Ovis aries: one gene and its partners. The protein of the gene in region 2 interacts with the protein of the main gene of each other region in a biochemical or structural test. Links are inferred from orthologs where the notes say so. Each region holds a gene or a part of one and is shown on either strand. Other genes may lie near its edges.

Region 1 (10,685 bases), on a different chromosome or scaffold from region 2:
TCACCCTGCCGGAATGACATGAACACTAGGACTCTCCCTGATCCCTCAGCCAAGCAGCAGTCAGTGCGCTGTTATCGAAAAGCCTGCAGGTCAGCCAGCCCCCCAAGCCGGGGCTGGCAAGGCCGCCGTGGCCGCAGCAGCCGTTCTGTCAGCTCTGGGTCCACCCGGACCAGCGAAGCATCTTCCTCCTCATCCTCATCGTCGTCTTCCTCATCCCGATCCCGGTCCCGGTCCCTCTCCCCCCCACACAAGAGGTGGCGAAGGTGAGCTCTGATGGCCTGTTAGGTTCTCTCCACTTTCGAAGTTCTCTCCTCTGGCTTACTCTGAAAGCTTTTGCACATTGAGTTTGATGAACTTTCAGGCACAAAGGCTTTTCTATTTCTGTCTTTGGCTTTTGTCTTCTTCCCTTTCCCTGGATTTGAAGGAGGCAAGCTGTGAAAAGATAGCTTCTGTCCCCTGTTGGAGATTGGGATATCTCTGAGATCTCCTGCTTCCTAGAGACCTGCCTTGGGAGAGACCGTTAGGGTTTGGTCTTGACCATGTTGATTCCTTTGAACTGTATCAGTCCTTATTTCTTGTGTTTTCTGGTAGATGTGGGATGGTGGGCCTAGTGGGTTGTTAATGGCAAATAATCCTTCTTTTAATCATCTGTTGAGGAAAGAGTCTGGTGTCCTTTGGGTGTCACTATGGCCTCATCTACTTTGGGGGAATACCTTTTTCTCTATAATAGACCCCAATTTTTCCACTTCATCAGTGAAGAATTCTTGGTTTTTGGTGGTGAAGCTTATCTTCAGGTATGTCGTCTGTTACAGATCTAGCACAGTCACCTCCCCTTAATGCTATAATCATAGTACTCCTGTGAGACATGAGGGGAGCAGGATTCCAGAGACACGGGCCTGCCTGCCCTCCCACCTCTCCCTTACACCCGCCACCCCTCGGCTTGTTGTAATACCTAGGGCCCAGCACTTTATCTCTGAGTATTATTTTTATTCTTTCTGACTTGTTAGATATTCTTCTATTTTTAATTGCATAATTGACAATAAATAAGATCAATGCCCAGATACTCTAGAACATGTAAAGTTCATGAGGTTCTCAGTTTGCTTTTCTTCTGTACCTCCTCTGCTTTTCTCTGCCTTTGGTCCTGAGCTTCCTGACAGGGAGGCAGGGCTGGGGCCAAGGTGAGGTAAATGGATGATATCTCCACTCCTCCATTTCTGTGTGATCTTTTGTTCTCTAGGTCCAGTTGCAGTTCTTCTGGACGTTCCCGAAGATGCTCTTCCTCTTCCTCCTCCTCATCTTCCTCCTCCTCTTCCTCATCCTCATCATCTAGTTCCCGAAGCCGATCCCGCTCTCCATCTCCTCGCCGGAGAAGTGACAGGAGGCGGCGGTGAGCATGTTTTCAGGGAGTTGGTGCATCTGGGGTGCAAGAACCTATGAGTTGAGACTTGAGCTGTCTAATGTCTAGGGGGCTGACAGCACCTTTTTCTCTTGGCAGGTACAGTTCTTATCGTTCACATGACCATTACCAAAGGCAGAGAGTACTGCAGAAGGAGCGTGCAATAGTGAGTAGAGGAACAGGTCCCAGGAGGAGAGGGCTTGTGCCTGAGCCATGACATGAGCTCACAGAGCCATCTGCAGCTATGGCTTCGGCTCATGGTGTGTCAATTTTCCTTGACCCAACATAGGAAGAGAGAAGAGTGGTCTTCATTGGGAAGATACCTGGCCGCATGACTCGGTCAGAGCTGAAACAGAGGTTCTCTGTTTTTGGGGAGATTGAGGAGTGCACCATCCACTTCCGTGTCCAAGGGTGAGGTTGGGCCCTGTGCTCAGGATGTCCTTCCTGTCCTATTATCTGTCTCAGTGCTTTGTCTTTCCTGAATGCTCCAGTGTGCTGGGCAGTGCAGGACACCTTCATCTCTACAATCAGAGGGTTGGCTATTTGGGGAATGAGAAGAAGCTCTCCAGTCCCTGTACCCTGGGGAGCTGTCTCTTCTCCACGGCATGTGCCCAAATAGCCATCTCAGCTTCTGTCTCACCCTCCCCTCCAGTGACAACTATGGCTTCGTCACTTACCGGTATGCCGAGGAGGCATTTGCAGCCATTGAGAGTGGCCACAAGCTGAGGCAGGCGGATGAACAGCCCTTTGATCTCTGCTTTGGGGGCCGCAGGCAGTTCTGCAAGAGAAGCTATTCTGATCTTGGTGAGTGGAGGGAGGCCCTGAGCCTTTGGTATGCTCCATCTCCTCCCTGGAAGAATCCCCAGCCTTTTGAGAGGCAGACTTGTCTTCCTCTGACACATGAAGGGCTTAAAGGGTGGGATGAGAGGAGAAATGGGGGCTCTTCTGTCTTTTGACTTAAAATTCAGGAGATTTTAGCTCCATCCAGTATAGATATGAGAGGTAGCTGGCCATTTGAGACCCTGTGGTTGGGAGGTGTACTCAAAGAGACCTTGATGTTTGTCTCTCTCTACCTTTGTAGACTCCAACCGGGAAGACTTTGACCCTGCTCCTGTAAAGAGCAAATTTGATTCTCTTGACTTTGACACATTGTTGAAACAGGCCCAGAAGAACCTCAGGAGGTAACCCTGGGCCCTTCTCCCCCATCCCCTTTTCTTTGGAGGTGCCCAACCTCCTCCATTCCCCTCCCCCAGTCTAGGGGAGAGAGCTGCTAGCGAGGAGATGACTGTTTTCTAAAGAAATGGAAAAAAAGTGAAATAAAAATGTAATACATCAGATTTTAAGTGGTATTTGTTTTTTATAATAGGCTTTGAAACACATTAACTTGCATTCCTGTGTAAGATGGATGGGGTTGAGGCAGACTAATAAACATGAACTAGAGAGAACTGCCAAGTGCTGTTGTGCTTTTTTCTATGGTGCTGGTGCCACAGAAGTCATGTTTCCTCTCTGAACCCAACAGGGACATTCTTACTTCCATTTGATTCCTAGGACCCCTCTTCAGTTAGGTGCAGAATCCTATTGGACTTGAAACTGCTCTTCAAGAGTCTTGTAGGTGAAATCAGTCATCTAGGGCAGTGCTTCTCAGACTTTGAAAGGGTAGCTAAATTTGGAGATCTTTTAAAAATGCGGATTCTGAGTTATGGGGTGGGCCTTGAGATTCTGCATTTCCAACAAGCGTGGTGCTATTGGTCTGGGAAGGAATTTGAATATCAGGGACCCAGAGGAAGTTCACACCTGTTGTAAATAAAGGTTTTTGAAACTGAGGCTTGTGTGTACCATTGCGTGAGCACAATGCTTGGCATTCAGCAGGTGCTCAGATGTTTAAAGAATGCATGCAAGTGAATAGACCTTTAGGAAAGAGGGACATACAGGAATTATACCAAGGACAGGGGAATGCCTATTTTGAGAAAGGCAAAGAAGTGTATCCTTTGAGAAAGTGAACCCTTACCTCCCTGAGGGGCATGAAGGAGAAATAGTCTAGGGCTAGTAGACAGGATTGTAGGGATTGCTATCTGCTAATGTGAACTGAAATATGGAGAACCTGAAATTAACTTAATAGGCCTGGGCATTGATAAATTTGAGTACTCATGACAGAGGCAGTTGAGGGGTTTTCTAGTTCTTCCACGGGGAGGATTCATAGTGTGGACTGTGACCCAGGAAGTAGAAGGGTTATTTTCAGGATTATCCGTTTGAAGAGATTGCTGCTGTCGCTCGGGTTTATTGCACATCCCCTTTTTCTCTTCATGAAGCTGACGTGAAGCTGTGTAAATAAGGGAGGGTAGAGTTGTCTCATGGGCAAGTCAAGATTGAGGTGGACAGTTTTGAAGATCAATACCTCACCACTACCACAGATAATCTGAAGGGCCCTCGGTAATGGAGTTGGGAGTGCAGAGGTTGGGGTGGTATTTTGAGAAAGGGCCTTCCAGGGTGTTGAAGTGAAGATGGGGAAGAGTGGGAATCCACTGGCAGCGCAAATAGGGGACGGTGGGATATGTGACCAAGTTTAGAAAACTCAAGGTCAGCTCAGGCCCGCCGACCCACGCCTTACTCTGATATCTGAATGCTACGGGTAACCGCTGCACTGAGAAAGGTGGCTCCAGCAGGAAGGCAAGGCGCGGGAAGTCCGAAGCTTTCCCGCCGCCACCAAAGGCGTGACCTCTGACGTAAGGGCTCCGCCTTCACAAAGCAGAACGGCGGGCTCCGCCTTTCCAAGATGGCGACACTCGTGGGACCGGAAAGCGTCCATGGATTTCGCCTTTACCCTGTCTCCGAGAGTGCGCCCGCCCCTTCCGGCGTGTCCCGCGCAGCGCGAGGACGTTGCGTGGGTCCGCCCCTAGGCCGCCTCTTCCGGTTTCTTGAGTCGTGTGCGTCCGCGACGGTAGTGACGCGTATTACCCGGAGGATGGCGGACGCCGGCTTACGCCGCGTGGTTCCCAGCGACCTGTATCCCCTCGTGCTCGGCTTTCTGCGAGATAACCAGCTCTCGAGCGTGGCCAATAAATTCGTCAAGGCAACAGGCGCTGTGAGTCCGGGGCTTGGATCATGGGCTGGGGTGGGATCACCACAGGGCTGCGGGCCCTGGCATGCTTAAGTCTGCAGGTAGGGAAGTGTGCGGGGTCCGCCTGACTAATGACTGCCAGGTCTTTGTGCCGAGCTCTCGGCGGTTGGTGGAAAGCCTGGAGTCTTGGCATCACTTCCACGAGGTCTGGCTACTTAGCGCTGAGTCTTGCTTTTTTCTGGTGAGAGGTGAGGCGGTGGCAGCGTGGGACCCTCGTGGCCTAGGTCACGTAGCTAGCAGAGTGCGACCGGGCGGGAGCGCCTGGTCCTACCGGAGGCATTAGAGGCTCCTGGTAGTGCCAAGCGTGACTTGAGTTTAACTCTCAAACGAATTTACCCAGGACTCAAATAGAATTGCTTTAGAAATAATGAAAACTGAAAAAAAGTGAAAGTTAGTCGCTGAGTCGTGTCCGACTCTGCAGTCCCATGGAGAAGCTCACCAGGGTCCTCTCCAGGAGAGAATCCTGGAGTGGGTAGCCTTTCCCTACTCGGGGGATCTTCCAGACCCAGAGCTCTAATCGGGTCTCCCTCATGCGGGCAGATTCTTTACTGTCTGAGCCACGGGGAAGCCGTTAATGAAAGCTGGGATTTTTGTTACTAAAGAAAAAAATGAACGGGAGTAGAAGCAGGGTTGAGCATCAAGCAGTTGTGGAATTTCTGACTTCCTGCATCAGACAAGTGTAGGTTTGGGAACAGTCTCTGCCACTTTAAAAGTGTATGATCCAGGCAGCTTGCTTAATCTCTTTGAATCTGTTTCTACTTCTATGAGCATGCCATCATTCACTTTATAGGATTTTTGTGAGTTTTAATAACATGATATATGCAAAGTGGCAATACCAGTGCCTGGTGCTCAGAAAGCATCAATGAGTGGAAGTTGTTATGTTGGCTATGGTACCTTAGGATGTTTAAAAAACAAATAAAAGGAAGATGACCAGGAATATGAAAGGTTTGGAATCTCCATCTCAAAGAGATCAGACAAGACTGCACAAAAAAACACCTTGAAGATAGAGTGGAGTGGTGAGGTAGTCCTTAAAAGTGAAAGTGTTAGTCACTCAGTGGTGTATGACTCTTTGTGAGTCCATGGACTCTAGCCCGCCAGGCTCCTCTGTCCGTGGGATTCTCCAGGCAAGAATCCCGGAGTGGGTTGCCATTCCCTTCTCCAGGGGATCTTTCCCACCCAGGGATCAAACCTGAGTCTCCTGCATTGCAGGCATATTCTTCACCATCTGAGCCACCAGGGAAGCTCATATGGTAGTCCTTAGTGGTCTTAGTCTTTGATTAAGAAGATAAGCTTGTTCTTTGTGGTAGAATCAGGTTACACAAGTTATAAGTCAGATCAGCCTCAAAGGGCTTCCTTAAGCTGAGACGGCCTGCCATATGTGATCTGATAGAGCTGCTTTCATATTGGAACTGTTTTGCATTGACTGTTAGAGGCTGCAGAGAGTGTTTCCACATCCGGCTGGATGGAATTGGGCCTTTCAAAAGAATCAGAAATCTTTTTTATGTGACAAAAGCTAATCTTTGTGGAGGGCATACTAAGGGCCAGATGCTAAGCCCCTTATGTGCATTATCTCATTCTCTCAACAGCTTAGTGCTTTATAGTATTATCTATCTTAAAGGGAAGAAAAACAGTATTAGATCAAGTGATTTACTCAGGGTCACACATTACTAACCAGCAGAAGTAAGTTTCACATTTCATCTAACTTTGAGCCTGTACTCTCGTATATACTGTAATGCCTTGCCATTTTTTTTGAACACCAACTCATAATTCATAAGCAGTGTAATTAACAGCTGAATGCAGTTCTGCACTGAATAATTAGCATGCTGCTAAGTCACTTCAGTCCTGTCCGACTCTGTGCGACCCCAGAGACGGCAGCCCACCAGGCTCCCCCGTCCCTGGGATTCTCCAGGCAAGAACACTGGAGTGGGTTGCCATTTCCTTCTCCAGTGCATGAAAGTGAAAGTGAAGTCGCTCAGTCATGTCCTGCTTACTCTTCGAGACCCCACGGACTACAGCTCACCAGGTTCCTCTGTCCATGGGACTTTCCAGGCAAGAGTACTGGAGTGGGGTGCCATTGCCTTTTCCTGAATAATTAGCATAGATTTTTACTAATCTTCTCTTGATGGTTGATTTCCAGTGGTTTGGAATTATAAACCAAGTTGCAGCAAATATCTTCCTGTGTAGGTATTTGTTTCATGGGTAAGGATAAATTCCTGGATAGTACACTGCTAGAATAAAGCAGTGTTTTTAATGGAATGCATGTTTTTAAAGGCTTTGATAAATAGGATTGATAGGCAGGGGAATAGATGATGCCAGAAACTACAGGAATAACCCAAGTTTTTGCTACCGAAAATTTGGAAATACATAAATAGAATATTTTTCTCCTAATTTATACAAGTAGGAGAAACCTTCAGAGATGTAACATTTATATCAGATAGAGCAGACAAAATAAGTGACTTTTAATGAGAGAGTAACACAAAATTTGAACTCCCATAGAATAACCAGGATAAAACTTTCTTACCGTGCTTTCTCTGTCTTTTCTCTTATAGACCCAGCAGGATGCCAACGCCTCTTCCCTCTTGGATATCTATAGTTTCTGGCTCAAGTAAGTCTTCTCTTTGCCAGTGTGGCAGTTTTCTCCCTGTGAGTAGGCTGGGTTGTATTCTTTGTTTTGAGAAGGTCCTGTTCCCCAGAAGTTAGCCTAATCTGCCTCAGCAGGTCCACCAAGGCTCCAAAGCGGAAGTTACAGGCAAATGGACCAGTGGCTAAGAAGAAGACTTCATCCAGTGACAGCAGTGACGACAGCAGTGAGGAGGAAAACCAGGCACCTCCAGCTAAGAAAGCTGGTAAGGCCTAGCAGGGAGTTGTGGTTCCAGGAAGAGGATTTGTAGTCTCCCAGTACTAAATGGCTGATTCTTACTGAGACCCGTATTTTTGTTCAGCTGTACCTGCCAAGCAGGCCAGTCTGCTTCAGCATCCTGGAAAGGCTGCAGTCAAAGCATCCGAGAGCAGCAGCAGCAGCAGTGAAGAATCCAGTGATGATGAGGAGGAAGAAGACAGAAAGAAAAAGCCTGTTGAGGTGCAGCTTTGGGGAGGAAAGGAATTGCTTAAGGGATTGGAAAGAAGAAGTCCAAAATCTTGGCTTTTAGCCTGGTGGTGCTGGTTATAAACAACAGATTATTACGAGGTCTTTCAGAGAGGTTGTAAAAATATGAGGTTTGGAAAGGATTTTGTAGGGTGAAAGTTGAACCCTGAATGTAGAGGAAATTCAGTCCATTCTGCAACCCTGACAGTATTGGGTTTCTCTGGGACACCGTCAAGGACTCCAAGAGTAAAAGATGTTTTGTGGACAGGTGCAGGGAGCTCTAAACAGGGAATGTCAGGAACAAGGCCTAAAAAAGGGAGCTTGCTTTTGTACCTTAAGATGTCCTTTGGGTGCCCTAAAACTCTTGCTGATTCCCCTGGCTTTTCTTACAGAAGGGAGTTAAGCCACAGGCCAAGACAGTCAAAGCTCCTCCTAAGAAGGCCGAGAGCTCTGATTCCGATTCTGACTCAAGCTCAGAGGACGAGGCACCAAAGAACCAGAAGCCAAAGACAACACCTGTGGCAGTGAAAACTCAGGCTAAAGCCCCAGCCAAACCAGGTATCGTTTTTGTTCCCAAGAGGCTAGGCTGGGGACCAGGTTGCTCTGGGGACTGGTGTGAAAATTCCTCATTCACCACAGGGATGAAATGGCACTGGTTATTGAACTAGGGGTATGGACTGGTGTCTTTTTTTTTTAAATTAGGGACTAGTAACTACAGAAATGGCTTGCCTGGTGGCCCAGACAGTAAAGAATCTGCCTGCAATACAGGAGACCCAGGTTCGATACCTGGGTCATGAAGATCCACTGGAGAAGAGAATAACTACTGCCTCCAGTAGACTTGCCTGAAGAATCCCCATGGATAGAGGAGCCTGGCGGGCTATAGTCCATGGGGTTGCAAAGAGTCAGACAAGTCTGAGCAGCAACTAACACTTTCACTTTTTTCAACTATAGAAATAGTGGGCAATGAGGGAAAACATGTTTAAAAGACTTCAGAGGGCATATTCAAATGATTTGCGTCATAAAATTTTTTGGAAGACAGGTTTATTTCTGAACTTGGGCAGGAAATTTATCCTTTGATAATACCACGGTAAACCACAGCCTTCTCCTTTATGCTTGCTGCAAAGGCAAGAGAATTGACAGTGAAGAGCCTAAGCTACTCTATCTTGTAAAAGAGCTCCATTTTGCAAAGGTACCGGGCAAACAGACTTAGACTTTGGATATTGCCTAAACTTGCCCCACTGTGCGCGAGCCAGTCAGCCCTTGGATTAGACCTCCTGACTTTAAGTTCAAGAATTTGTGATTTACCTTGGAAGTAATGAGTTACATTTGTGATTTACCTTGGAAGTAATGATTTACCGTGGAAATGGGAACCAATCAGAACCCAACACCTAACCCTTCCACAGAAGGTAACCAATTAGAGGTCTCCCAACCTGGAAACTCCCGTTTTTCGAATTTTTCGCGCGAGAATACCCTATATAAGCAATATAACCCAGAGTTCAGGGCTCCTCTCCTAAGCCACTGCATCGGTAACGGTGGGAGCCCCAGCTCGAGCTTGGTAATAAAAACTCTCTTGCTTTTCCATCAGATATCAGCTCCCTGGTGGTCATTGGGAGATTTTGAGACTTGGGCATAACAACAGACTCCTAAGTACCAAGCTAATAGGAGGAGGCTTTAAGAAATATTTATTTATTTGGCTGCACCATATCTTAGTTGGTGCATGTGGGATCTAGTTCCCTGACCAGGGATCAGACCCCCAGCTCCCTACATTGGGAGCATGGAATCTTAGCCACTGGACCACCAGGGAAGTCCCAGTTCATGTCTGTTTAAAAAATATTTTTCTTTCTTTATTTCCGGGTGTACTAGGTCCTTGCTGTGTATGGGCTTTCTGCAGTTGAGGTGAATGGAGGCTGCTCCCTTGTGGTGGTGTGCAGGCTTCTTACGCTGGTGGCTTCTCTTGTTGCAGAGCACAGGCTGTAGAGTGTTGGGGCTTTAGTTGTGGCTCCCGGGATTAGTTGTCCCAGGGGATATGAGATCTTCCCAGAACAGGGATTGAACCTGTGTCTCCTGCATTGGTAGGTGGGTTTTTGTTTGTTTGTTTGTTTTTTTACCACAGAGCCATGAAGGAAGGCTGGCAGGTGTATTCTTAGCCACTGGACCACCAGGGAAATCCAGCTCATGTCTGTTTTCAACATACCTGTCTTACAGTTTGTTGAAACAATACATATGTATGTCGGAGTGGTTGGCTGTAAAAACTTGAGCCCAGCTATCATCTGAAGGGTATTCACACCCACCTTATGGTATTTCAGACAGCCAGCTAGCTTAGTCTTCTTTCTCTTATGCTTGTTCTTGGGACTTATGTAAGAATTCTTCCTTTCTTAGTACCATCATGAAGTCCCAAAAGTAAGGTGAAATGTACACTCCTTTTGAATTTTATAGTCAAAGTACATCTGTGTTCTAGTTGCTTGCCAGCAAAGATCAATCTTTACTACTCAGGAAGAATTCTTTTTTATCCTGGATTTTGGCCCTTCATTTTCTGTTGTAGCTGAGGGTTTGACTTCAAGAGTGATGGTCATTCCCCTCAGGATCTTCATGAAATTCTGCATCTTGGCGGCAGTGCTGCTGAAGGTGGCGGGTCCGAAAACTGTCTTTATACTCATGTTATTTCTATTTTCTTAGGTACATCACCTCGGCCAGCACCTAAAGTCGCCAATGGCAAAGCAGCTAGTAGCAGCAGCGGCAGCAGCAGCAGCAGTGATGATGACTCAGAGGAGGAAAAGGCAGTAGCCATCTCTAAGAAGGTATAGGCCTTAATTTCTACCAGGGAAGAGGGGACAAGAGGGTGGAAGTCCTCCATTTCCTGGCAGGATTGGTTGGGTCAATATTTTCCTGTGGTAATTGATTTTCTCTGTGTGATGCAGACCATACCTAAAAAGCAAGTTGTGGCTAAGGCCCCAGTGAAAATGGTTGCTGCACCTGCCCAAAAGAGTTCCAGCAGTGAGGACTCCTCCAGTGAGGAGGAGGAAGAGGAGCAGAAGAAAAAGCCCATGAAGAAAAAACCAGGTGACTGGACACGGGGAGTCAAGCTA
Region 2 (10,246 bases):
GCATTGTTTTACACAAGGTGGTCAGGGAAGGCCTGTCTAGAGTTTTAATACTGAAATAAGTGAGTTGTCAGGGCTTCCTCAGCAGAAGACACAGCAAGGAAAAAGGCCTTGATGTTGGAGGGGCTTGGAACAGCAGTCAGCATGGCTGGAATGGAGTGAGCAGGTGGAACAGCAATGCAGTCCCAAGAGTAGGGTTGGGAAGGATCATGGGAGGAAGGGGTGTGGCTCTCACATGACGGGAGATGGGGAGCCACTGGGATCTGAGCAGAAGAAAGTAATCTGACTTACATTTCAACAGGATCACTCTGGCTACTGTGTGGACAGAACAGATTACAAGGAGTCAAAGGTGATGGAGAGGAGATCAGTTCAGTGGAACAGCACTAAGGCAGACAAGGTCAGCTAGTTTAGGGTGATAGTGGTGCAAGAGATATGTGGTGAGAGTTGAGGTATATTTTGAAGGAAGAGGCAACAGGATTTCCTGATAGGTTGACATGAATTGTGAGAGAGAGGAGTGGGACGCCAAGAGTTGAGGGCAGAACCGCTCAACAAAGGGGCTACTGATGAGTGTGCTTGCTTCAGAATTTCAAGAACATCATTCAAGCATTATGAATTACCTTGTTCATTTTGTACCAGAGACCAGGCATTTGGTAAATGAAAATCTCCTCCGATTCCCGATAAAAGGTATTACATGATTTTCACCAAGTTTTAATTCTTCCAAACTCGCTAGGTCAGAGGTCAATTTATGACAATGGAACTTTTCAGTCAGAAAAAGTTTTATTACAAGAAACAATGCCATCAGATAAAAATGCAAAAAATTGTGCAATTATGGCAAAATGTTTAAAAATATCTACACATTTGCCCCCAAAGGACTACAGTACTTAACTACATACCTGAGCACAGAACATCGAATGCCATTTTAAACTGTTTCACATAGAAAATCTGATTCCTTGCAAGATCACATCCACTTTCTCTCATGCACCAGTGAAATCAGCTTGATGCTTAGGCATCAACTTTGTAGGATAACAGAAAACAAAGATGGAAAATAAAGAATACAATTTCTACTTTCCTATAACATAGTTATACCACATCCAGTTTTCAATGTATAAAAAATACATAGGAAAGTGCTACATACTTTCTTCAAATGCAAAAACAAAGCTCAAGTGGGACTGGCATCTATCACCTTCTATTTTAATTCTATAGTACCCATTATGCCTTTTACTTATATTCTCATCATACTAAGCAAATGTACCTTAAATATCTAAACACAGACCCACACATATTACTAATCCTAGTTTTCTAGAACCTCTTCTGAAATCATCTGAAAAGTGGCAAAATATCCCAGCTATATAATTTAAACAAATAGTTTTTCATACAAAATTCAATATATATTCTATTGATACTTCCATAGCAAATTCCAAACCTTGGCTTTGACACACTATCCTTAGAGCACACCCTCAACATAAACTGTTATAGGATCAATTGTTAGAGGATCAACTGTTGTGCAGATCAATAGAATAAATCGACTGCAGAATTAACCACAGTACATTGTACTCCTATACATCACACGGCACATGTAAATTGTTAATGTTCTAATGTCATGTTTTCAAGTAACACAGTGTTCTAAATAAATACAGGAGATTGTCAAAAAGCGGCAGGAAGTCTCAGGAAGCAACAAAGCTTTCAAAAATAAATTATGGGAACATCTCTTGTAATGTTTAGTTTGGTTTTTCCTCCCCTTGGCAATGCATCACAATGTAGATGCTTCAAAATGCTCACAGAAAAAGCCCCAAAACAGCACAAAGAGAAAGAAAAACTGAGAAGAAAAAAAATAGCTGATTAGTTGACAGTCAATAAGGAGACTATAGACACACTACCAAGGCCAGCAAGAAGAGAGCACGTACCCAGCTTCCCAAGACTGGATTTTAAAATGTCAATTCTCTAAACGCTGTCCACTTTCAATTCGACTTCAGGAAACGTTCCCTACTTGTAGAGGGCTATGACAAGCAGTTTGGAAAGTTTCCGAAAAACGAGGTATGTGATGCAAAGAGGCAATGTTTTTGATTTGTTTCACAGTATCACATTACAATTTGTGCAAGAGTTTTTAATACAAACCGTGCCAGTTTGTTTCTTTAAGGGAATCAAAATGTTCCAGTTAAGGACAGACTCTGGCTATACTTATATCCTTTATTACTTATTCCAGGAAGAGTAAAAATAAGTTACTGATCTAAATATCTGCCTTAGGTATAACACGAGTTGGTTTGTCCTCTCTGTAAGTATTTCCGTTAGAAATTAATCAGTTAAATATGAAAAATGATTTAATACCTATAATGCTATGATTCTATTCACTCACACTTTTCCTTCTCAGTCACCTGCAGTTAGAACAAAGGTTTTCAATGCAAAACTATTCATAACTGTTAAGTGCAAAAACTTTTTTTTAAATGAGGTTTTAATTGTCATAGGTAATGCAAAAGACATTAAATGAGACTATTGCAGGAATTTTATGTTTCTGGAAAACAGAATTTTAAAAGTAGGAGTTAAAACTTCACATTCTGCTCTGTGCAGAAGACAAGTAAGTTACCTTTCATTGTACCGATAATGAATGGACAGGTAAGGATGGAAAGGAGGTTAGGCGACAAATGGCCCATGTTAGTGCAAAATGAGGACAATAGTCTTCTCACTATTCTCAGATTGAATCCAGTTAGACCAGTAACTAGCCATAGCTTGCCATCCTGTAATCAGAGAATCTTGTGAAATCACAAGAGTTCAGCAAGTCAAGTACAATGGCCATGAAACTAACATACCAATTTGAAAGGTAAGCATAGGCTCAGACATTTGAAATATACCTAACTATACACATGAGTTAACTTATACTAGCACCAGCCACCTGTGAATTTGAGCCCTTCTCGGGATTAAAAAAAAAAAATGAGACAGTGTTAGCACTTGAAAAAATTGTCAACACAAAACTACTTTAAAACTTTAGCTTAATTTAAAGAAACATGGGAAATATAAAACAATCCAACTAAAAGCTCTTTCTGAGACTGATTTGTTTTTCCTTCAAACTACTCTAATAACACATTTAAATCCAGTACACGTGAAAACAGTACACAAAATATACACATATTCAGAATGAGGATCTAAGTTAGTGCGTCTCTGTAGCAGAGAGGTCACAGCTAAAGTCCTAGTGATATTGCCTCAAATTTTTACCCGTATTTAAAATAAAAAGTCACATCAAACTATTTTGGATGTCTCTAATCCATAGTACCCTAACTGCTCTTCTAAGAGTGCATAGTTGTCAATTCGTCTGGTATCTCAGTGACTATTCATCACGAAATTCTAGAATGATGTGATTATTTTTATACCAGAAAAAAAAAATGCTGATAATTGCACTTTGTTACCTTTTGCTTACTGAAATGAAAACATCACATGGATGAAAAGAAATCCCTCCCTACACTCATCTTAAACAGCACCCATCTCCACGTGTAAACTCTCTTCAGCTTTCTTAAATACTGACAGCACTTCTTCTTATCACTGAAAGACTAAGTTTCCTCCAGCACAAGATGCCGGTGAGCTCACTAAGGCCTGCCATTCATTAAAGTACTTTCTGAAGACACTGAGGATACAGTTTAGCAACAGCACATTCAAAATGCCGGCCAAGGTCCCAGAGGCGATCTGGGGTCTCATACACTTTCATCCATTGGTCAGTGATATCATCATACTGGTAAAGGGAATTTTTTCTGCTGGTTCTGAAGACATGTTCTTCAACGGTCACTTGAGTAGCTCGAACAAATAAATGGAGCTTATTCTGGAAAAGTACCAGTTTAAGGTATGGGTTTATGGACTCATCACATGGAAAGTCCTTCTTACGAGTCCACTTATTGAGCTCAATATCATAGGCTTCTACAGTAAACATCCGCTGATGATTTCCACAGGTTCCAGCTATGTAGTAGATAGAGTTCTTGTATACAGCTGCTAAGCCCTGGATTCTAGGCACAGTCATGGGGGTTAAGAAACCCCAGTAGTCTTTCTGAGGCTCATAGAAGAGGAAAAACTCTCCTAAAAAAGAGAAAGGGGAAAAAAAAAAGAGAGAGAAAAGAAAACAAGAATGTGAAGATTTAAATATAAGATAGCTTAAAACATCTACATCCCATGGCACAACGTAACATAATATTAGAATCAACCTGATTTGGGGCATTCAAACTGGTAAGTGTGAGAAGTTACTTTGGCTTGATGGCAGTACAAAGGTTAAGAGCTTGGTTTCATTTACTCCATCCAAATATTTGGGTGTTTCAGAAAATTGATTTTAAGCCAGCTCTTATAAAAAGTATTATTACTAATGGTTAGCCAGTAAGATCAAAATATGAATATAGGTTCAATCATGAATAAGCCACTATAAATTTATGTGCTAGTTATTTAACTATAAGGTAGTACATAGAATTGTTCAGATTTCTATGGGCCACTAATGTGTTTACTTTAGAGTTGCTATAAGGCAAAGACAAATATCAAGAGGAGAAAATATGGCCTTAAGCTGATAGAAAACACATACATCATTTAGGGAATTGACTATGAGGCCGTTTCCATTCTGTTTTGACCATGAAAAGGTGTGCTGAGTCACACTGCCGATGTAAAAATGTCGAAAAGAATTAAGCTAGTAAAGATTTACAAGAGCTTGGCTAATTATAACATTAAAATCTTTGATTTGAAAGAATCAAATAAAATCTTTGATATGAAAATCTGAACCCTTTATGATCAGATTAAATGGTACTCCAGTAGCCACTGACAGTAGGGCATGATCTTCTGACTAGTCATGTCAAGTTTATTTATACAAAGAGGCTTTGTTTAGATCAGAAGTACCTACTTCTAAATTGAGCTTCCCCTTGAAAACTGTTTTGAACTAGGTTAACTCCTATCGATAAATATAACTGCCTACCTAATAAAAGTAATGCTGAAAAAATCCAGGTTTTCATAAAACAGTTTGTTAAACTCTCAGCTTTTGCCTGCATATTCCCTATGCTTTTTGACTAAAATGTAACAGGATTCGTAATAAAGAAAACAGGAATGAACACATTTTTACCCTGTAGTACTTAGCTACAAATTTCTTATAAGAAGGAAAGATAATACATTTTAAAAGTTGATTTTTAAACCTAAAGATGACTTTAATAAACTAAAACCAGTAATGGGCAATTAAAACCCTCAGTGCCTCAGATTTGTCTTATATAAAATACAGTCTGATTAAATAATGTTCATTCCAACCCTGAAAATCTGTTAATTCACTGTTACTTTGCTTTAGTATTTAAATTAATATACAACCTTTATATTCCATTTGGGAGTCTTCTAATTAATTCTATCTCTACTAAAAAATAACTGCTTAGCCAGAGAGAGCTTCATCATATTGAATGATATAACCTATCCAACCATATAAGTCAAAGTGTTACTCCCTGAGTGTGTCCACCTCTTTGCCCCATGGACTATAGCCCACCAGGCTCCTCAGGTCATGGAATTCTCCAGGCAAGAATACTGGAGTGGGTAGCCATTCCCTTCTCCGGGGGATCTTCCCAACCCAGGGATCGAACCTGGCTCTCCAGGACTGCAGGCAGATTCTTTACCACCGGAGCCCCCTAGGAAGCCCTATCTAACCATTCTTTATAGATTTTTACATCCATTCAGATACTCCATTTTTTGGCAAGACCAACAAACCTACATCATCCCAGGCTTCCATTCAACTAAAATGAGGCACGAGAAAGTATTCCTTACTCTCTCTGGAGAATTAACTTTACACTGAAGTTTAAACAAATGGGTTTAGGCATTTCTAAGAAATTATAAGTCAAATAAAGGATTACAGCAAAGAACATTAAAAAAAAAAAACTTACAGTGGGGAAAAAAACTAAAAAATCATATGTATCTACACAGAACTTGCACCCCTTTCCTTATTTTTTTAATAGCAGTGAAGGAAAGCATTTATCTATAAGCAGTTAAGAAATGCAAAAGAAGAAGGATGTTGGTATTGTCAATACTGTATTCGGTATTCAAGCAACTAAAATAAGAAACCAAACACAAGGAAAATATTAGCACAAATCAGAACCTTGGATCAAGTATCTTATTTACTGCTACTCAGTTCCTTTTTCTGGTATCTTTACCAAGGTACCAGTTTTCAATTGTTTACACAAAAATTTTTAAGCTAAGTATATTACCATCCCTCTCATCTTATAATGTTAAAAAGATGACATCTCAAAATTTTTCAGTGAAAAAAAATTAAAAACACTGTATTATGGATGACAACATTAACTGCAGTGAAATTAAAATCCTGAACAGTGTGATTTCAAACTCTTTGTAAGTGAGTTTCATAACCTTTGCCATCATAAGACTTCATACAAAATTCTTTGGCAACTGAATAGTACAACTGCATTTGAGGCTTTGTTCTTTTTTTCTCTTTTAAACTAATCCAGTAAGTTCCATAAGAAGAATACTTGCTACCGTCCCTTGATTATATATCATTCAACTGCAAAAAGTTATATATCAAACTTGATTCCTTGTTTAAAGCCTTAAAAATGGAACAGAAATAGTTTTTCTCAAATGCTGAACTATTATTTATGGGGAAAAAAGTTTTCAAAAATACTATGTCACATGATGTCAAAAGACAGTAAGAACATAAAAAAACTTACATGATCATTTTAGGGACTTGAAAGTACCTGCCTTTTTTGATTGAAAATTTTATTTTCTTCACTAGTCCCTTAAAGAACAGACTACTCCAATAAATAACTTTAACCACTCGGGCACCTACCCTGTAAAACATAGATCTTCTCTTTGTATTCCACGGCATTATGAAACTCCATTGCAACAGGCATGGCGCAAACAGTAGTCCAGCGGTTCTCTCTGCTGTCATAGCACTCCACAGATTTTAGTGAGTTTCTCCCATCACCTTCGTAGACACGCCCTCCGATTGCATACATCTTACCACAGCAGTACACCAGTTTGCAGCCTATTCTGGCTCGAAGCAAGGACGGTTTGGAAAGCCACCTATTGGTGGAATGGTCATACATCCAGAAATCATTTTCGGCCTTATGGTCAATGGATACCTCACTGCTGCTTGGCCTGTACCCTCCTGCAATGTAAATATCATTATCTGGTGATACAAGGATTCCAACTTCTCTCAGATCATTTGGTGGTTTGCATAGTTTGAACACTCTTCCTGTGAATATATCTAGACAAGGCACTGTTTGCTTCTTTCCTGAGTGTTTGTGGGCTGCGTCGAAACATATGATCATTTCCGATGCAGTCATTCCAAGTCTCTGTGTACAGCCATTGGGACTGGCTGGTCCCTTTTCCACACAGCTTTTGGCGATAGCCTGTGCAAACTGAGATGGAATTTTCTCTATAAAGGTGTCTTCCATCAGAGGAAAACGTATGCATTTGGCAAAAATTTCTGGAAGGTGCACTTCTCTTTCATTTTGTTCATGTTCAAACCACCTTACAATACTCTCATAAACATGCTCTTCCCGGTCTACATTTAAATCATCACTGTCTAGGATACTTATCAGTTGGTCCTTTGTCAGCTGAAGAAACTCCTGTTCTTTGGTGACACACAAGAACTTTTTACGAATGTATTCTTTAGATCGATCTCCAAGTTCCTGATGACCGTAATGATCAGCAAAGATGAAGACCCCGATAGAATTTTGTGGGTCCAAATGACTGATCATGTACTTGGCACACTGGTCTTGGATGGAGGGAATCTGGAAGATGCTAGCTGCAGTGAACAAGGCTTGAACATTGGCCTCTGTCAGAACAACTCTGGAGGTATAGGCATAGTTCAACACTAAATCCATCGACTCGGCTTCAACACCAACAATTCGAACTTCTTTTTGAGTGCTTTCTGTAAGGCCGCTAGTGAACATGGATCTAGGAAGGAAAGAGTGGTGAATTTATCTGCATTACAAATAAAAATTACTGTCGCAAGTTTGTAAAGAGTTATCACAAGGATCACTTTTTGAAACTGAAAAACATTTCCTAATGTGTTTCCTGATATCCTGAATATCAGGAAAGGGATAAAAGTTGATCATCTAGCAGAAGATTTAATCTGGCTAATCTCAAAGAAACCCTATTCTCAGGGCCAGTCAGTCCACTTTGTGCCAACTCTGAGAAAAGCAGAGTATACCTAACTAAATCAAATCAAAAAGTGGCAAGGCATATTCCAGGACACCTTATTTTCCTTGGAGCCCTATCCAGGCTTCTGATCAAGTTGCTTTAGGGGACTTAAGATCTTCAATCACCAGGTAAGTCAGAAAGTTTACAAATACCTATGGTGTATCAGTGTGACACATTAGCATATAGAAACTGTCTAATAAAACTTCTCATGACCCAGTGGAAATTTACAAGACAACCTGTGCCCAAAATGTATCTTTAAAAATTTTAGCTTAGAAAAATAAGATGTTCTTCAGAAGTTCTTATTTTCTTCCTACTCCTTTTTAAAATATTTATCCTTTGAATGCTTCCTTAATCATTATAAACAATATAAAGCACATCAATTCATCAGTTATCCTTGGATATTTTGAAAACTTTTGCTTGAGAAAATCAAGAAATATACTTGATTTTCTCAAAGTTACCATAGTTTTATCTATTTATAAATAAAAATGTTAGCCTCATTGATGCTCAGTTGTGCCTGACTCTTTGTGGCCCCAGGGACTGTAGCCCTCCAGGCTCCTTTGTCCTGGGATTTCCCAGGCAGGAATACTGGAGTAGGTTGCCATTTCCTTCTCTGGGAGATCTTCCCAACCCAGGGATTGAAGCCCTGTCTCCTGCATCACAGAGGGATTGTTTAACACTGAGCCACCTAGGAGCCCATAAATAAAGATCTGGGTAGGGTTAATATTAATAAAATGACTACTTCTAAAGAGAACTTAAGAATTAATCGATTTGTTGCAATCTGATTTTGTTGGTTTTCAAAAAATTCCAGGTTCTTGTCTTTGAGACCAACCTTTTCTTTTTTAATGTGCTTTTATGGCACTTTCAGGGCTTCCCTGGTAGTTCAGATGGTAAAGAATCCACTTGCAATGCAGGAGACCCCAGTTTGATTCCTGGGTGGGGAAGATGCCCTGGAGAAGAGATAGGTTACCCACTCCCGTATTCTTGGGCTTCCCAGCTGGTAAAGAATCCACCTGCAATGCGGGAGAACCTGGGTTTGATCCCTGGGTTGGGAAGATCCCCTGGAGGAGGGCATGGCAACCCACTCTTGTATTCTTGCTGTAGAATCCCCATGGACAGAGTCAGAATGAGCGACTAAGCACAGCACAGCACGGTACTTCCTTGGCCAAACCATTAAGACGTCAAAAGCCTAGCTTTTTATTTAAAGTGCTAGTCATTTATAAACATCATTTGCCTTTCTTCTCCCTCCTTTGATGTTTCTTTCTAAGAAGTTCTTAAAATTTATAGAACTTTTATAAGTTTAACTTCTTAAACTTATAAAAAGGTCAAAAGCTCTTTTAAAATCCTCTGGAGAAAAGGATGTTATGCCCTAGAATGCTTAATAGATGTCTGTTGAAGATATTGACCTAACACTGGTGATAAACTTGATTATTCAGATCCAGACCTCTCCTATATTAAGTGTGATGTTATGAAAAAAGAGTGGGAAGATTTTCAGATCACTTTTAACACCTTTATCAAAAACATGAAATTAATTTAAAAATGCAATATGTAATATTGGAGTTATACAGGAGTACCTGGACCCAGCTTATTACCTGGGTTAACTATCCTTTGAGTCTTAATTTTACTTCTATTATGCAAAATTTAAGTTTAATATCCTGCACACTTTTTTTTTTTTCCTTGAATGACTGAAAACTAAATGTTCCAATGTATGAGCTGGTTTTTCAATTCAGGTACTGAAAAACTCAGTTATATAGGTCCCAATTAAAAAGAAAAAGAAAGCCCTTCATTATGCAAAGATTAAATCCCAGAGGAGAACATTACCACGTTACCCTTTATCAAGGGAGCTGCTCTACTGACTTGAATAAGCTGGCCTCACACACAGCAGTATAACATGCAAGTTCCCCTCTGTTCTATCATTTCCTTTATGTAAACTCTAATTAAAGTGGGAGTACTTCCTCACACAAAATCCTGAGCAATATGTTTCTAATAATCATACACATTTTATTTCTGACAAGTCTCTGGGATCAGGAAACAGCCATGGCAGATTGCAAGCTATTCTATTTTTTCCATCAGTGATGCAAGATTTGCAAATATTAAGTATGACTTTTTA
Region 3 (10,844 bases), on a different chromosome or scaffold from region 2:
GAATAATTTGCCAAATTATACGTGGCCAAGAATATGGGTAATTTTCCACTACCTCTCTAAAAAGTCATTTTCACATATTCTATAATGAATATAATGAAGCCTGTATTTCTTTTACAATGAGAAAATATATTTAAAAATTAAGAAGTTACCTTCTATGTAAGTAAAAACCAACAATGCAGAGAATGGTAATTCTTCTGTGGAGCTGTGACCACTGTTGGTTAAAGCACAAACTAGCTGGAGAACGGGGATAGGAGGGGGCTGTGAAGGCCTCACAGGGTGGCCCCTGCCAACGCACTGGAACCAGGGTGCCTGGGACAGCGTACAGGTGCTAAACCTGCTCCCTTCAGAGAGGCAACTGCTGAAATAGCCCCTGAGCACACAGAAGAGGGGCCTGCCAGCTGCTGTCTCTGAAATCTCTCTCGCAGTTCTTCTGAAAATGAAAGCTGCTCTTCTGTTTTTACCAGACTTATCTAGAAGGCTTAAAAAAATGCAGTTCCTGGACTGGAGAGGCTGACTCTCTACATGCCTCTAGACTCTAAGAGCCCATTCCTGTTTTTGTTCACCACTGGATTCCTAGCACCTGGGACACAATGTCTGGCCCAGAGGAAGGGCTCAAATCAAGACTAAAATAGGTATGTGGGGCTCTTACAACCTTCCCTCTAAAAGGACCTGGTCCTCCAAGGGCTCACAGAAGGTGAAGCTGGAGGTGGACTCTCCCTTGGAACAATCCAATATACAACAGCCGGTCCCCGAGAGGTGCAGGGTACTACACCGAGCCCCTGGCTCAGAGACAGGGGCCCTCTCAGCACCCAGGACTCTTACTGGGTTTGGTGGTTTTGGCTTCTGCCTCCTCCTCCTCCTCCTCCTCTTCCGAGCTCTCTGAGCTGCTGATGGGGTCTGACACGCGGGTCCTCTTGGCCTGCAAGGCCGCATCTTCCTCTGCCTTCCGTTTCCGGCCAATCTCCGAAGTTCTGCAGGACAAGGGTGACTGGCAAGCTCAACCAGGGGGCAAGGACAACCCTAGGATAGTTGAAAAGGAAGACCTCCCACATCCTCCCTGACCCCAAAGGGAAAGTGTATAAAGAGACTTTAAACAGTGATGAAACAGAGTGGAGAAACAATTTCGTGTTGTGCATCTTCACTCATTTCACTGTATTTTTACAGTTTATCTTCAAACACTCAGGAAGGGTGGGCAGTATTTTCTAACAGCCGCTAAGAGTCACAGAGCTCTAAGCGCCAGCACTGTATACACTTCACAGAATCATCCAGGTCCCTCCTTCCTTCAGGACTTGTGGCACCCACAGTCACCTCCTCTTGGAAGACTGCCCAGGTCCCTGTTGTCCCTCAGGCCTCAACTGCAGTACAGCCTTCTCGGAAAGGCCTTCCCCAGTCACCACTGTCCTCTAAGATATTCTCCGCCCTGTTTCATTTTCTTCAGAGCACTTTTCTCTCTCCCATCGTTTTACTTAACTTCCTACTTGATGATGCCCCTACTGCATGCCCGGGGAGGGGAGGGCTGGCAGAACCTTTTCCAGCTCACTTCAGTACCTAGAGTACCTAGCCTAAGTCTCACGGCTAACTGACCTGCCCAGAGTCACAGTCTGAGGCTCTGGGGAGGACAAGCACTCAGATGGCTGAGGTGCCAGAATTTTCAAGCACCCCATCCTCTGAGCCCAGCCTCCTGCCCGAGGGGGTCACTGTCTGTGTGCCACACTCTCCATGTGGGACAGATGTCGCTCTGCCACAGTTTGGGATGTGCTGCCTGGCTCCCTTGTTCCCAGGAAGGCCACTTGTTGGGAAATCTACAAAAACATGTTTCATTTATCACACGTATAGGTTCACTCTGCCTCTCTTCTCCCCGTAGAACGTAACTTTCACAGGTGCAGAGATTTTTCTCTTCCAGTTTGTTTCCAACTACATCAAGAACAGTTCTGTCTCAAAGTAGGTGCTCAGTAAACAGAAGCGGGGAGAGGAGTAATGCCTCCACTGGCCAGGTTTAGCACTTTATTTACTATTATTATCTTCATTTTACTGAAGGAGACTAACTTGGGGAGATCAAGTTTGTCCAAGGTCATACAGCTGGGTTTGAACCACCAGGTTAGGCTGGTGGGTGTGAGGTCCTTGTCCAAGTCAGCACCGCTCATCCAGAGAAGGGGCTGGTGGTAGGGGAGGGTGTGAGGCACGGCTCAGTGAAGCACTTCTCTGGGGAAGGAAGTGCTGCACAAATAGCAGACACCTGGGCACGTGGAAGAGGAAGTGGGGGGTGTACCCTGTGCTCACCTTAGCAGCAGAGGAGAGCCAAGAACTGAGGGCTGACAGGGCTTGCAAAGACCTTAGCTCTCTACTGGAAGCTGGGATCCCTTCTCTACCATGCCCGCCTTTGCTTACACACCTCTGATGACAGGGATCTCACCACTCTACTGTAGCCCACCTCAGTTTTGGACAGCTCTGATGACCAACTGCTTTCACTCAGAAGCTGACACTTGGCTTCCTAAAGCAGGTTCACATGGGTCCCACTTCTCTCTCAGGCCCTAGGGAACACCCCACTCCCTTCGTCTCAAAACATGTGCAGATAGTGGTCCCTCCACTGCCCCTCTGCCATCTTTTTTCCACCCAGACAGTTGCATGTTCACTATCATTCCTCATGGGTCACAACTGCAGGTCCTTCACTCCCGTAGTTGGCTGTGGTCAGGCCAGTTCACTGAGGGAGCGATTACCCGCTCCTTCATTTTCAATCCATTCCTCTGTTGATAAGTCCTTGGATTATCCCCTCTCCTTGTTTTGCGTGTTTCACAGACATTTCACATTCAGCATGTCTTTGAAATCTTTCCCTCCACGTTGGGTTCCTTCCATTCAAGCATACAAGTCAGACACCTGGGAGCTGACTACACTGCTTCTCCAAACCATCTGCAGACCCTCATCTCATCCTCTGGTATTCCTGCACACTGTCTCCCTCGTATGTTATTCCTGCCTCAAGCCCTAGCAGCTCTTGTCTGGAGGCTGATATCCACAGCCTACCCAGTCGAGCCAGCGACCTCACCACTCTTCACTTCACCCGTCCATGGTTCTCAGGGCAAAGACACAACTTCTCCTTGTGGGTGATCAGGCCTGTCATGGGGTGGTCCCTGACGATTGTCTAGTCTCGTCTGCACTGCACAGCAGTTACAGCCTCAGACCAGCAGCTCCCTCTGCCAGCTACACTCCATCAGCCTTTCCACACCTATTGCCGAGTTCACCTCCCCACTCCTGCAGTTCTCAACTCAAAGGTCACCTCAAGGAAGCCACTCCTACACACCTAAATGAGGTGATGCTAACCTATTCAGGCAGTTTTGGCCCCAGGCACCTCTTTCATAATCCTCACCACCACTGTGATTTTATACTCATTTGTCTCATTCTCTGTGGCATGCTTACCTCCCTGACTCCAGTGTCAGCTCCAGGAAAGGAGCCACCATGCATGTCTCATTCATGACAATATCTCTGTACTGAGAGCCTGGCATTCAGCAGTTACTCAATAAATGCTCATTGACTGAATGAATAACAAGCTGCCAAGAAGCTCTTGTCCTTCAGAGACACTGCTCACAGTTCTCAGTGTCCTCTCTACTAGCAGACAGACACCCATATCTGTGGTGTAGCTTCCTAGAGGTGATAAAAGTATCTACAGTGGGTTACGGGGACAGATTTTAGACCAGATTAGTATCCTAGCTGATTTCATGCTGAGAGCTTGGGGTGTCCTTCTTGCACTCCCTCAGCCCCATTAGACTTACTGTTGCCAGTGTGTATAGATGTCCAGAAGGGTTACAGGCTGACTCAGGAAAATTTTCTGCAGAGAAGCAAAGAGAAAGCAGCAATTAACCCTCCTGAGTACAGCAAGGTTCCTCCTTGGGCCCCACGCTCATGACATCATGAACCACAGAGAGATGGTTGAGAAGGGGGTCTTTCTGCTCTGGGCAATACGTCTGCTCAGCCCTGCCAGGACCACCCGAACCTTTCAGAGACACACAGGGCAAGTACTTCCAACTAAAACCTTTTAAGACAATATTCTGGTGAGAAGTACCTTTGACAGAGTAGAGTGGGAATATTCCAAGCTAGCATTTATTCAGCCCCCAGCCTCCCTGGCACTCTCCAGGCTTAGGTGCCACAAGACAGGGCTTTTTCCACCCCTGACCTTTCAAAAGTCAAGCTGGTCAATTTCCCCAGGCAGTATGAACCACAGACTAGACAACCACGCTGTCTGCTCACCCACTGGGCAGAGACTGGAACCAAATGGTGCCAATCCTTTGGTAGAAGCAAAGCCCTCTGGAGCCAAGATCAGAAGTCTACTCTCTGCAAATGTCAAGAACCTGGAGTGTCAAGTGCCCCAAGGAGGCTGAGTGAGTAATGCAGGGCCAGGGATTTAAGCAGAGTGGCCAGGAGGGTGCATCTAGGGTCAGGCAAAGAGAATTAATTTGTTAACTGGATAGTCTACTGTCTTCAGCTCTTTAAAGCTGCAGGTTCTTTCTTTATATGGGGATAACAGCAGTACCCATCTAAGATGCTGCTCTCAGGCCTTAAGGAGACAGTCTACAATAGTAACTGCACAGCACAGCAGCCAGTAACATTCAGTCTGTAACTGACAGTGACTAAAAGTGTCAGTTTCACTTTCCTTGGCCCCAGGCACACTGGCCTCCTCACTGTCCCTCAAATCTGTCAGGGGACTCCGCCCCCATCGGGGCTGGCTGTTCTTTCTGTCTTGAATGCTCTCTCCTGCCAACTATATGGCTCACTCCTTCACTTTCTTCAGGTCCTCGCCCCAAAGTCACCTTCTCACTCGGGTTTCATGACCACCCTATAGATAATTTAACTCTGATATTCCTTATCCCTTCTACCTGCCTTATTTTTACACCTAGCACCTACCATCACCCCATACACTGTATCATTAACTTAAAAAAAAATTCAGTCATTTGTCTGTTCCTGCTGGAATATATGCTTCATGAGGGCAGGATTCTTTCGTCTAGGCAAATGCCCCAAAGAAGATAGGTACTCCCTTTTGTTCCCTGTAGCTGGTAAGTGATATAACTGAAGTAAGAAAAGCTACCGAGGTCCAAAGATTGGGAAAAGCACAGATGATGTCTTATTTGTCATCCTTTAGTCTCTCCCAGAGGTCCTGAGAGAAAGTATCATGACCAGAGCCTACACCATAGCCAGACAGACACCGACTAATCAAGTCAACAGACACCACACCAACTTAACACCTTCCAGTGGCTTACCACTACTTCACCAAAACCAAAGGAAGCCCACTTCCTGCCTCTGTCTCCCCAGAGATCTCTGTCACCCTTGTACTCCATACTTCAGTCACAATAAACTTTCTGGCGGCCAGTACATATGCAACACTTTGCATTCCTACTTGGAACATCCACTTCCTTCTCTCAGATCTCAAAGTAGCATTCACTTCCTCTGGAGAGCAGGTCTGGATATCCCTGACTAAGGCGATCTGCCATTCCTGTCTTAGCACCCTATGCTTCTCATTCTTGGCAGTTAATGCAGTGCTGAGTGCACAGTTACTTTTGTGGTCCTCTGATTTATGTCAATCTCCCCTAGCAGATTTAGCCTGTAAACTCTAATTAGTAAGCCAAGGGACCCTCCTCGCTATTCTATCGCCAGCACCCTCACTGCCAGATTAACAGCTGCTTGAGGGATGGATGAAGTAAGAGCGACTACACCACGAGTTCAACTCCCAATTAGTACAGAAAAGCTGCTAGGGGCTTGAGCTCCAGCTCAGTCAAGCAGCTTCAGGCCCCTTCTCGGGCGCTCTTTCGCTCCTTTCTGGGCTGGTAGCGATTCTCTCCTCAGACTCGCAGCAACCTTTTCGCCCTAGGGGGCCGCGCCGAGCCACGTGGCCTGATACTTCGAAATTTTAAATTGTCGCTCCCGGAAGGGGGTGGAGGTAAGGGGCGCGGGAATTATAAAGCCCAGAGCGTTCGGTCTCACTTCCCGGCCCGCCCACTCCACAGATAAGGAAAGTGAGGCCCAGAGGAACTGGGAGCCACAGAGGTGCGGGGCAGAGGTTGCGGCCCCTTCAGCACCCCGGGCCGCGTCCCAAAGCACAGTGGGATCCGGGATCTCGGCGCCCGCAGGCCGCCAGAGGAAGAGGCGCGGGCCGCCTCTCCATAGATCTTGCACGCGGCCCTTGGACACGGCCCGCGCACGCTTACCTGGCCGCTCTGCTCCTTCACTTCCCGCGCCGCACGCACATAGCCCGCCTGCAGCAGATGCTGGTAGATCAGGGGAAGGAGCTCCCGCCGCTTCCTGGCCTCAGCCATGCCCGCGACCCCCGGCCTGTCCGTTCACCTGCACGCCCCCCTCAGTCCCCGCCCGCCACTTCCCTTGTGCCCTTAGACCTCGCGACCCCCACTTCCGGCTCCTCCTCCGCCCGCCGCGCGGCACGCCGGGAAGCGTAGTCTTATCTCCAAAGGTGGCCGGCCCCGCCTCCGCGGATGAAAAGGGAGGAGGCATGGGAGGCATTGAGACCGCCTATTGGCGGGGAGGGCGGGAGTCGGATCCGGACTCGCCCCCTGGGCCGCCTAAGATTAGAATGCCTCCCTCTTAAATCCTTCAGCCTCGCTCCTTGAAGGCATTTGTCTTCCTCTTAGCTGTGTGACAGCTGTGATCGGATTTTACTCATCTCTGAATATCCTATTCTCCAGCTCTCTCTAGACTCGAACTTCCACTTACCCACTCATTTAATCATTTCACAAATCTTTTTAGAACGCATGAACCGGTGCTATTTGTCATCGTTCATTCATTCATTGAATAGTTATTGAGCGCCATACCTTCGGCAAGCGCTTAGGCTAGGCCTGCGGGATATATAAGATGTGGCAGCTGCCCTCAAAGCTCACAGGGAAGAGAGAGGCTGGTAATCGAGCAACTATGGTTCAAAGTCTTCTGCACATTGTCTGGGACAAGCACAGCCTATGGGAGAAAGGAGGGGCCCCTAACCCCAAGAGGGTATCTAAGCTGAGGCTTAAAGACAGAATAGGAGTTTCTAGGTGCAGAGGAGAGGGCTGGCATCCCAGGCAGAGGGCACTGCATGAATATAGACAGGAGAAACCACTTCGGTACAGGCCAGGAAACCCAAACATAAAACGCCGTCTGTGCTGCTGGACTGTTGAGTTGGAGGGTTGAGGGAACCAGTGTGGATGCAGAAGGATGGACAAGTTAACAGGGCCTTCAACACCCGCTCCACCTGGTCAGAGTTTGCACTTTGCTCCAAGGGCAATAGCCAGTCTCTGTCTGATTCTATGCAGGAGGGTGACTTGGGTTTGTGTTTTTTAAAGATTGCAATGGGGACTTCCCTGGTGGTCCAGCGGCTAAGACTCTGTACTCCCACCGCAGGGGGCCTGGGTTTGATTCCTGGTCAGAGAAGTAAAAACTGCATGCCACAACTAAGACTTCTCATGCCATAACTAAATAGTCCACATGCCTCAATGAAGATTGACGATCCTTCGTGCTACAAAGACCCAGCACAGCCAAAAAAAAAAAAAAAAGATTGCTATGACCAACGCATAGAGGATGGATTTTTGGAGAACAAAACTGGATGAGAGGGTGCTGTAGTTGTGGAGAGGAGATTGGCAGGGAGAGGGTGAGTTAGGCTGGGGAATATTTGAATCAGCTATTCTTTTTTTTCTTTTAACATATATTTAAAATTTTTATTTGGCTGTTCATTTATTTATCTATTTGGGTCTCCTTATTTATTTGGTCTTCTGCGCTAGGCCATCATTGCTACCCGCAGCCTTTCTTTAGTTGTAGTGCTTGGGCCTCTCACTGTGGCAACGGCTTCTCTTCCTGCGGATCAGGGGCTCTAGGGCACTCTAGGGTGTCAGAGGTTACGGTATGTGGGATCTAGAGCATGGGCTCCGTAGCTGTTGGTACACGGGCTTAGTTGCTCCCCCAAAACAGGGATCGAATTCATGCCTCCTGCATTGGCAGTCAGATTCTTAACCGCTGGACCAACAAGGAAGTCCTGAACCAGCCGTTCTTAACTTCATGTGTCCATCGAGAAAATGAAGAGAGCAAGAAGCACCTAACGTTTGCTGTAGAAAATTCTAAAGGTGTACAGACACATAACGTTTTCCGTCCAATTTTAGGATACGGGGTAAGCACATACCTGACCACCCTAGGCTTAGGAACGATTGCTCCAGGAAGAAATAGGGACAGGACCAGGTAACTGATGGAATATGGTAAGTGAGGAAGAGAGGGGAGACTAATCTACATTCAGCTATTTAGCAAATATTTATTGAACAACTACTGTTGGAAATAAAACTGTCTCCACGCCAACAGAGCTTATAGTTCAACGGGGAGACGTAACCTAACAAATACATATAATTTGTTACATGCATTTTGTTATTTATATTGTTTTTGTTATTAAACACATACAAATACATTGTTACAAGCGGTGAGTAAGTGTAGAAAAGAAAAGGATAGAGTTTTTTTCTTATGGAAGAGGAGTATTTAAAAGCTATGCTGGAGTCATTCTGCCCAGGTTCAAACTCCTGCTTTGTCTCTTATTAACTAGGTGACCTTCGCTAAGTTACATAACTTCTTGGTGCCTCAGTTTCTTCACTCATAAGATAGAGGTAATTATAGTTTCTACCTGATAGGGTTGCCATGAGGAGTAAATGAGTTCTAAGCAGAAACGCACAGAAAATTTCCAAGAATAGTACTGCACTTGTGTGTCCATTAGCCGTCACCATGAAATCATCTGACAGGATGACAGGATCTATCTCTGCTTGGGGGTCAGGGAAGGATTCCCTGAGGAAGTGATCTTTGTGAGGACCTCTGAACTATGTGAGGGGAGAGTGGGGTAGGGGGAAGAATCCTAGGCAGAATAACGGACCTGTGCAAAGGGCCTGAGGTGGAAGGTACCACTGAGAGAAGAGGTGAGAAAATGCCTTCGTGACAGGGCCCAGAGGGAGCGCAGGGGGATTGGGGAGTTTAGAAGGAGGGCAGAGGCAGGTTCTGTATCGAGAATCTTTCTCTTCATCCTCAGAGATTTAGGAAGCCACTGACAGTGTAGGTCCAAGAAGGATAGGATGACATTTGCATTTTAATGTGACCCCTGTAGGCAGAGAGTGGAATGGGGTGTGTGTGTGTGTGAGTAGCTGCAAGATGACAGGTTAGGGTTAGGAGGGCAGGCAGGCATCCGGGGAGACTATCACAGGGGTGGTGCTGATGGCAGTACAGGTGGAGGGCTGTGGAAGGTTCCAGGTATCAGGAAGTAAAATCATCAAAGAGATGTGTGGGAATGGAGGGGATGGAGAGTGAGTGTCAGGATGACCTCTGAGGTTTCCATGAAAACAGGCAGTGGTTTTTCACTGAGATGGGGAAACCTGAAGGTGAACTGGGAGGAGTTGCTTGGGTGAGTGATGATGGGAGGCTGTGGAGGGGGTCATGAAAAATGCAAGTTCCACTTTAGACGTGTTGAGCTTGAAAGACCTTTGGGACCCTGGAGGTAGATGTTGCATAGGCCTGGGTTTGGAAGCACACGAGGATGGGAAGTTGTCAGGAGACAGATGATCACGTGGCTGTGGGGGAGGCCCAGATTGGCCAGAGAGAAGAGAAGGTGCCCCAGGATGGAGCTGTGAGGCACACCCACAGGTTGTGGCTGTGAAAATGAGGGTGTACCTGCAGAGGCTGCAAAGGAGGGCCCAAGAGGTGGGAGAAAACCCAGGAGAGTGGGCCTAGGGAAGGAAGCCAAGGGAAGGAAGCTGAGAGTTTTGGGAAAGTGGGGAGAGTCAAGGGGCAATGTTCTGAGAGGTCAGAAGGATGAGGATGGGACCAGTGGCTTCAGTTACTGACAGTCATGGGGACTGTTGGTGGTGGGTTTAGGGAATACTGTTTGTGGAAAGTGATGGAGAGGGTCAGATGGCAGCGATCTGATGAGTGAAGGAGGGGTGAGGGAGGCAGTGGGTCTTTTGAGAAGTATTTGTGTAAAGGGGAGGGGAGAGATGTTGTGACGGCTCCGTGTGTGTGTACGTGTGTGTGTGTATGTGTGTGTGTTGGGGGAAGTGAAGTGAAGTCGCTCAGTCGTGTCCGACTCTTTGCGACCCCATCGACTGTAGCCTACCAGGCTCCTCTGTCCATGGGATTTTCCAGGCAATAGACCTGGAGTGGATTGCCATTTCCTTCTCCAGGGGATCTTCCCAACCCAGGGATCGAACCCGAGTCTCCCTCGTTGTAGACAGACGCTTTACCATCTGAGCCACCAGGGAAGTCTCATGTGTTGGGGGAGGGGAGGTATGTTAGAAGGTGGAAGAGACCTGAGTTTGTTTTCAGGCTGATGGCAGATTGAGGGGAGAGATTAATTAAGGGTGTGGGAAAGAGGGGAGGCAAGCAGTAAGCGATGTTCACAAGTGTGCGCGAGGGGATGGGATCAGGCGCGTAGGTGGAAGGGCTGGTCTTGGAAAGAAGGAGGGATGACTTCTCTAAAACCAAAAGAGGGAACAAAGAGAGGATGGTGCAGATGTAGATGTAGGTTTGTAGTGGGATGTTAAGGGAGATTTCATCTTCAGCTTCTATTTTTTCTGCAAAGTGGGAGGCAAGGTCTGCTGAGAGTGAGGGAGAGAAGTGGTGAGACTTTTGAAGGAAGGAGGAGAGTGTGCATTCAGAAGAGCAAACTTGCCCACAAAATTTCAAATGTCCTGTCCTGTTGGCTGGGGGATTTCCCCACTGTGGCTCACCAACCCACGTACAAGCAGGGGAAAGTCCTGGGTGAGGTTTATCCAGGCCCAGGGCTGTGCCGGATGGGTGGAGAAAAGGGCATAGGGGTCTAAAATGTTGGCAAAATAGATGCCTAACCTTTGGGCCCT

Evidence for each region.
Region 1: the proteins of KBTBD8 (region 2) and NOLC1 form a complex in vitro, tested with the Homo sapiens proteins (2 studies listed by BioGRID). The link is inferred for Ovis aries from reciprocal best matches to the Homo sapiens genes KBTBD8 and NOLC1.
Region 3: the proteins of KBTBD8 (region 2) and TCOF1 form a complex in vitro, tested with the Homo sapiens proteins (2 studies listed by BioGRID, with this or other methods). The link is inferred for Ovis aries from reciprocal best matches to the Homo sapiens genes KBTBD8 and TCOF1.

The regions. Positions count from the first base shown.
Region 1 is NC_056075.1:22,590,673-22,601,357, forward strand, and holds the start of NOLC1 (nucleolar and coiled-body phosphoprotein 1), read left to right. Parts: upstream 1-4,336; 5' UTR 4,337-4,358; coding exon 4,359-4,478; intron 4,479-7,063; coding exon 7,064-7,119; intron 7,120-7,229; coding exon 7,230-7,360; intron 7,361-7,456; coding exon 7,457-7,593; intron 7,594-7,991; coding exon 7,992-8,157; intron 8,158-10,275; coding exon 10,276-10,397; intron 10,398-10,517; coding exon 10,518-10,659; intron 10,660-10,685. Other genes in the region: PPRC1 (peroxisome proliferator-activated receptor gamma coactivator-related protein 1), read left to right, coding at 1-263, 1,238-1,387, 1,496-1,562, 1,686-1,807, 2,049-2,352. UniProt on the Homo sapiens protein: Nucleolar protein that acts as a regulator of RNA polymerase I by connecting RNA polymerase I with enzymes responsible for ribosomal processing and modification.
Region 2 is NC_056072.1:34,570,051-34,580,296, forward strand, and holds the end of KBTBD8 (kelch repeat and BTB domain-containing protein 8), read right to left. Parts: intron 7,894-10,246; coding exon 6,779-7,893; intron 4,054-6,778; coding exon 3,590-4,053; 3' UTR 756-3,589; downstream 1-755. UniProt on the Homo sapiens protein: Substrate-specific adapter of a BCR (BTB-CUL3-RBX1) E3 ubiquitin ligase complex that acts as a regulator of neural crest specification.
Region 3 is NC_056058.1:59,467,460-59,478,303, reverse strand, and holds the start of TCOF1 (treacle protein), read right to left. Parts: upstream 6,350-10,844; 5' UTR 6,300-6,349; coding exon 6,192-6,299; intron 3,821-6,191; coding exon 3,765-3,820; intron 972-3,764; coding exon 823-971; intron 1-822.